2 linked regions of the Mus musculus genome follow. The protein of the gene in region 2 purifies or fractionates together with the protein of the main gene of each other region. This does not show direct contact. Links are inferred from orthologs where the notes say so. Each region holds a gene or a part of one and is shown on either strand. Other genes may lie near its edges.

Region 1 (3,652 bases), on a different chromosome or scaffold from region 2:
TCACAACTATCCATAACTCCAGTTCCAGGAGATCTGATGCCCTCTTCTGACCTCCTCTGACACCAAGCACACATGTGGTGCACACACATACATACATGTAAAATACCCATACATATAAAATAAATAAAAATTTAAAAATAAGTACTTAAAAACAAACAAAAACAATGTAAAACACACTATGTCCCTTTGCTTCTCTATGAAGTCCTATTTTCTGAACAAAGTACCATTCTGTAAACAGCTTCTCTCTCTTACTCATGAGCGTGCACAGCACTTCTAATCTTCACCCATAAGCCCCGAAAGTCTCAGAAGCACAAATCCTTAAGAAGACAGTCTTCCCACGGTCATGACAGTTCCCCGTCACCTGTAGAAAAGGACGTAGGCCTCGGCATTCTGTACAGTGGACTCTGAAACTTCAGTGACGCTCTGGTCATCAAACTCATACCACAGGTTATTTAAATTGTTTCGGCAGTAGGCAATGTAGTGCCCACCTGTAAGGCAGGAAAAAGCGTGTTACGGTGCTACGTGTCAGACCGCAGAGCAGCTGAAACACGTCACAGCAGTTGTCTGTGCTCTGATTATTTCAGTCTGCACTCTCAGCACTACCACTGTAAGACAGGAAGCACAAGTTTAATCATTTCTTTTTGTCTTGAGAAAAGATCTCACTATTGTAGCCCAGGTTGGTCTTGAACTGACAATCCTCCCACCTCAGCTTCCCAAGAGTGTTCCGCCGCACACACCTGAGGTCATGCAGCTCTGAAAAGCCTTGTACAAAACAAAACTCGCCATGTTATGGTTTTTACCATTTGTCCTTCTAACTTTAATTTCAATTATTCCAAATAGTCTACGGAAAAATATTTACTGTCTTAAAATTTAACATCTGAAATGCTTCCTCTAACACTTAATAATTGTACAATTTATGGGTTAGAAGATTGTAATTCCATACACACACACAAATAATTCATGCAACGTTATAAAATATCTTAAACTCGGGGAGATTTTTATCTCACAGTCTCGTTTTTATTTCACAGTCTCTGCTACCCAGGCTCCTTGAACTTGGCAGGCATTCAGGTTTGCCAATAAGATTAAGTTAGATTGCTAATCTGTATTACAGGTACCTGTTTCAACTAGCTGGCATTTTTGGGGTCTGGAATTCCTAATCCTCCTGCCTCAGGCCCCTGAGTACCGGAACAATAGGTGCGTGCCCCCACACACAGGTATTCTCCTAACTGTGTGTTATTACTTTGTGTTGTCTGCTGTTTTTCTAATAATAAGCACTGAAACCTGTTTTTAAATTTTTCTCCCTTTGGTCAAGTGGGGCTTATTTAAGCAATCAACTTGGATACATGTTTTTTAATCACAAACAAATATCAAGCCATTGTACTCACTACTTGCAGTCCCATGGTGACAGATGACTGACAGGAGATCATATGTCACAATCTGAGCTGGGCTGTCCTTTGCAAGAAATGGCTGAAGATCGAGGCCTTCCAGGGGGAAGGAAACATGGGTGCTAATTTTGGTGGAAAACATCAGTTCATGTCGAAATCTTTTAAGGTGGATACACAAAATCTAAAAGAAGTACAATTCAACATCCAAATTACTCACTAGAAGAGATTGTAGTGGTTGAAACAAAGTACACTCAAGTTTTATTGTAAAAACAAGAAAATGTGGCATTCTCATATAAAATTACATTCATTTAAATGTTTATTTTAAAATAGTTATTTCAATTGGGGGGACTGGGGGCTTTCCCCCCCCCCCATTTTAAAGAGACTAAGTCTTACTATATAGACCTGGCTGGCCTGGAATGCACAGAAATTTGCATAGCCACCATGCCTGGCCCATTTTATATTCTCAATTAGAGTTTATGAATTAGTTAAATCATAAATATCCCCCTGAATTCTGACCTGATTCCAGACACATCTGTCATGTGGCAGAGTGAGCATGGCTCTTCCAAAGCTCAATGCCACCGGCTGTCTAGCTGTAAACTTCAGACTTGCAGAGCCCTGCGCTGTCTGGTGAAATGCTCAGCACACTGTTAGATGGTGTTATATATTCAACCCAACCTCCCACAGTGAGTCCTAAACAGCTTATAAACGAGTAACAATGAAGTCATACCTCAGGAAACTTCTGTACTTTACAAAACTTTACTCCATTCCTCAACCTAAGGATAAAAAAGAAAAGCTAAAAAAATCTACAAAACACTTATTATATTTAAATGGATCACAAAAATATCTTTCAGAAAATGTCAAGAAAGAATCAGAATAACAATATTCCTGAGTTATATTATATATTTATACACTAAATAATCAAACAATAAAATAGCTCTTAGTATAAAAAATTAACGTATACCAACATATCACTAATTAAAAGTTAAGTCACTACACAATACTTTGATTAAAAAAGAATTAGGGACTAGCTATGTGGTGCCTTAGCTCCCACCCAGCACTGCGCAGATCAAGCATGGCAGCACACACCTATACTCAGTACTCAGCAGGTGAAAGCAGGAAACTGTGAAGACCAAGGTCACCCTCAGCTCCATTCCAAGCTCAAGGCCAGCCTGAGCTACGGAGGTCCTGCTTTTTAAAAATGAGCATCAGTGAGCAGTGGTGGCGCACGCCTTTGATCCCCACACTCAGGAGAGAAGAGGCAGGGGCAGGTGGATCTCTAGGAGTTTGAGTCTAGCCTGGTCTACAAAGTGAGTTTCAGAACAGCCAGGGCTACACAGAGAAACCCTGTCTCGAAAAACCAAAAACAAACAAACAAAAAATCAGCATGAGGTAAGGTGCCACTGTCTACAATATGTCTACAATATGTTTATAATATGCAGATATTAAGTAAAACTCATAGTGTAGAATCCAAATCTTCTTCAAGATCTGTAACTCAAGTTCATATATTCTTATTATTCTTTTTATTTTGCCTTGAAGACAATAACGTCTTGTTATAAAACCCAGGCTAGGCTCAAATGTATAGTCCTCCCACCTCAGTACTGATAATATCAGCATATACCACTTACCACTACACGTGGGTTTAAAACCATTATTTTATTTGCATGCTTGTTTGTTTGTTTATAATTTTGTTTCTGTTTCTGAGACAGGGTCACTCTACATAGCCCTGGCCTTCCTGGAACTCACTGTGTAGACCAGGCTGGCCTCGAACTGGCAGCGAGACACTTGCCTCCTGTTGCTAAGAGCCAGGATTAAAGGTGTGGGCCACGCCTGGGCCATGACATAGTATATAAGCATCACACCCAGCCTGAAAACCTTCACTCTTAATATTAGGAAAATGTGGGGGGCCAAAGAGTGATTATTTCAAGTAATCAATATTGGGACTGAAGAGATGGCTCAGAGGTTAAGAGTACTGACTGATCTTCCAGAAGACCCTGGTTCAATTCCCAGCATGCACATGGCAGCTCACAACTGTCTGTTACTCCAGATCCAGGGAACTGATACCCTCACACAGACAGACATGCAGGCAAACACCAATGCACATAAAACACTTTGTTCAAAAGAAGCCATTAAATCATCAATATCAACGTGCACTTGACAGATGTGTACTTGGCATCTGGGGTGAGCACCCGCTGTCTGCTTTCTGTCTGTTTTCCTCTGCCTGAAATGTCTGGCGCCTCTTCAGCTCAGTCTCTTTTTAACTGTCATCC
Region 2 (3,752 bases):
CTGGAGCTCCGAAGACACACACGGAAGGGCTAGGCACGGTGCATGCCATTCTGGTACTCTTACACATTAAGCCACTCATCGGTCACGACACATAGTTTACCTGTGGTTTCCAGTGGGAGAGACAAGGACACTCCAGAGTCAAGAGGTTTTGAAGAAACGGGTGCAATGAAGTCATGGTTAAACAATTTATTTACTGTAAACTTTAGACTTTTCTCAGCAAAAAAAAAAAAAAAACCCAAAAAAACAAAAACAAAAACAAAACCCCAAAAAACAACAACAAACCAAAAACGAACCAAACAAACAAAAAAACAAAAACAAAAACAAAAACAAAACAACTGATGTTGTCCCTCAAATCCCTGCCTGCAACACTCCATTTGAGTAAATAAGTGGAGTGAGAGAGAAAGGGCCCATTGTCACAGCAGAAAGGTCCAAGACACAGGATATTTCAAGTCCAAGGGTACAGGAAGAAAACTCTCTCCTTTAGATATGGATTTCCAGCAGCAATATATATCATTCTTAATACTTGACCAGTGAGGTAGATACATGAAAACATCATCCAGACAGACAGACAGACAGACTCAGTCCTCCAGAACCAACACTCTTCAGACAGAAACCTTTAAGTTCCATACAAAGAGGAACTGAACTATACAAGAAAACAATAAGCACTCAAATACAGTTTCTCTCTCTTGTTTGCAGCTTAAAAAATAAAATAAAATTTAAAAAAAGGCAGAAGGATGTGCCTCCCCTTCTGCAAATCTCTATACAATTTTATTCTAAAGTTATTACACTCAAGTTAAATAGTCTGGTTAGTGTCCTGTCAAGGAGGGGTCTTAGAGAGTAGAAAGCCTGTATTACAGTGGCGAGTCATTTGTACTACAGTTCCTTCCTTGGGAGTCAACGCTAAGGCTAGGCACAGTACCTTGACAGTTCACAAAGCCTTCCATGCCTGGGGGATCCTCACACAGCAGTTCCTGTTCTCTCTCCTGCCCCAGCTGACAAGTGTTTGGCTCCCCTGTGTAGTCCGTTCTGCCGTTGCTATTGCTAGAGTAGCCGTTCCCATAGGTTTTCGAAGAAGACCTGCGAAGGCACAGAAGCTCTTGAAAGGCAATCCTGAAATCTGGACTCCGACAGTAGATAAGAGGATTGAAGGCAGAGTTGACGTAGCCCAACCAGTTAAGGAGGATGTAAACTTCCTTAGGGATGAGGTTGTCCCTGATAACGTGCACGATATTGACAATGAAGAAGGGCAGCCAGCAGAGGGTGAATGTGCCCATGATGATGCCTAAAGTCTTGAGGGCTTTGTGCTCTTTCAAGCAGAACTTGGAGGACCTTCGGAGTCCGTGGCCGCTCCGCCCATCCTGCTCCACCTGGCTGAGGTTTTGGGCGTGGAATCTTCCTTCAGATTTGTCTATCTTCTGCAGCTGCCTTTTGGCCACCTGGAAGACCCGGGAATAGACAAAGACCATCACCACCAGGGGCACGTAGAAAGACACAATCGAGGACGCGATGGCGTAGGCCTGGTTCGTGAAGAAGTCACAGCAAGTCTCCTCGGTGTAACAATCGATAGCTTTCTTGTGGGTGGCACGGTACCAGTGCATCTGGATAGGCAAAAAGGAGGTAAGGCCAGATACAATCCATACCATCAGGATGACCACTCGGGCCTTATTCTTGGTCAGCAGGCTCTGGTACTTGAAGGGCGATGTGATAGCAACATAGCGATCCACTGCAATCACGCACAGGGTCTCGATGCTGGCTGTGACGCACAACACATCAATGGAAGTCCAGAACTCGCACCAGAAGTTGCCAAAATTCCACATTTTCATAAGGATGTGACTGGCCCCAAACGGCACCACCGCTAGGCCCATGACTAGATCAGCACACGCCAAGGAGATTATGAAGTAGTTGGTGACGGTTTGTAGTCGCTCGAACTTGGCAATGGCTGTGATGACCAGCACGTTGCCAAACACGATGGCCAGGACGATAACCGACATGAGGATGGCCATGCCCACAACCCACGCTTCGTCCCGTTCCTGAGTGACGTCGTGGTCTGGCGCTCGGCTTCCGTTGGGTGCCAGCAAGAAGTCGCTGTCGTTCCCGTGTGGCCCCATGGCTGGCAGGTTAGCAGGTGAGCGCACCGGCTTTCGGTGCCCAGGCGCTCTCAGCGGGTGCACCTCCGACGGGGCGCAGCCGGCCGGGGGCGGACTCCTGGAAGCTTCATTCAGCGGCCGTAGGTGGCTGTGCTGGGGTGCGTCCTGCACACTCAGCTCGTGGGTGCTCCGGGCTCGCGGTGCCTGCAGCCGCAGCCTGAATGCCTGAGAAGCAGCCTTGCAGTGCGCCCTGCCCGTTATGTGCACCAGACTTTAGGGGAATTGCCCAGTGACGTGCAACAACTTTGGGCCAATGGCACGGCCGGATGCCCGGAGGGGCGAGGCACCAAGGGCCAACCCTCCCAGCCTAGCCCGCCTCCTCCTGGGGTTAGCCCGGGCGGGGCCCAGCGGCTCCCCGGAGGCCAGGCCACCGCTCCCTTCCAGCTACCCTAGCTGGGGCACCAGAGAGAGAAATCTAGGGCTGCTGTGCAACCCGCCAACCAGGCGCTGTCTGGAGGTGCTACCTGTCCGTTCAGGTCACCTGTGCGGGCTGAGAGGTCTCTGGACGCCAGTAGCGCAGGGTGCGTTTTCTTTTAGGAACAGAAAGAGCAAGCTCACCCGGACACGCACACACAGGCACAAACGCACCCTGACGACCAGGACATGCTCAGACTTATGCCGAACCACAGCCACAGCCACGGAGACACACCCGCGCCCGCTCATTCTGGAGATGACAGCTGTCTCCTGGTCCAACAGAGAGGTGGCTGTAAACAAACCCAGGAACACCCAGAAGCAGGAGGAAAGAAACACACATAAGCGCTCCTGTGGAGACATGGAGTGCGGACCACTCAGACACCGGTGTCCACATCCAGGTACCACCCGCTTCTAGCACTCATAAGTGACACCCCATTCACAGACATCCAGTGTATCCCCTTTCAGTTATTTGGCAAGAGCACAGGAGATGACTCCAACAGCTACAGAGTTTCTCAGCACACTTTGTGAAAAAATATTTTTTTGGCATCCTCCCTCCTTGAGAACCGCACCAAGGCAGTAACTTCATCCTTCGCATTTCTTTAGACCTAGAAGTATACACATTTGGGTAGGGTTGGGAAGGTGTAATTCTTAATTCTTGGGAGTGTGGCATCATTTTCTTGTTATATGGCGGATATCTGGGGATGTGCTGAAAATAAAAATGCAAGTGCAACCATTTTCAGTTTTACAATTTAAAAAATTAAACTACATTATTTATGTTCTGTGCATGGGAGTCTTATCTCTACATTTGTCTGTGCACCACATTTGTGCCTGTTTTGGAGGTCAGGACAAAGCATCAGATTCCCTAGGACTGAATATACAGATAGTATCAGCTCACAAGCTGCCTTTGTGAGTGCTGGGAATTGAACCCTGGTTCTCTGGAAGACTAGCCAAAGCTCTTAAGCACTGAGCCGTCTTTCCAGTCTTCATAATTTTCTTTTCAAACAATTTCTTTAGTAACTCTGTTTTAACTATAAAAATATTAATTGTATTAATTGTATGTGTTGGCTGGGTAATTTGCTAATCTTTTAGGCTGTGTCAGTGAATGTGCCACCATTGGGCTATTTCTGCCTTTAACCTCGCTGCCCACCCCACAATTTCATATAATTCCCTATATTAAAAACATGTTTTGTG

The links. Proteins that work in one complex are often made in the same cells at the same time.
Region 1: the proteins of Adrb2 (region 2) and Usp33 purify together in Homo sapiens (affinity purification with western blotting; 3 studies listed by BioGRID and IntAct, with this or other methods). This does not show direct contact. The link is inferred for Mus musculus from reciprocal best matches to the Homo sapiens genes ADRB2 and USP33.

Annotation. Positions count from the first base shown.
Region 1 is NC_000069.6:152,377,350-152,381,001, reverse strand, and holds part of Usp33 (ubiquitin carboxyl-terminal hydrolase 33), read right to left. Parts: intron 2,159-3,652; coding exon 2,113-2,158; intron 1,567-2,112; coding exon 1,386-1,566; intron 489-1,385; coding exon 362-488; intron 1-361. UniProt on the Homo sapiens protein: Deubiquitinating enzyme involved in various processes such as centrosome duplication, cellular migration and beta-2 adrenergic receptor/ADRB2 recycling.
Region 2 is NC_000084.6:62,177,645-62,181,396, forward strand, and holds Adrb2 (beta-2 adrenergic receptor), read right to left. Parts: upstream 2,338-3,752; 5' UTR 2,109-2,337; coding exon 852-2,108; 3' UTR 69-851; downstream 1-68. Other genes in the region: Gm9949 (uncharacterized protein LOC225609), read left to right, coding at 2,401-2,959. UniProt on the Homo sapiens protein: Beta-adrenergic receptors mediate the catecholamine-induced activation of adenylate cyclase through the action of G proteins. The beta-2-adrenergic receptor binds epinephrine with an approximately 30-fold greater affinity than it does norepinephrine.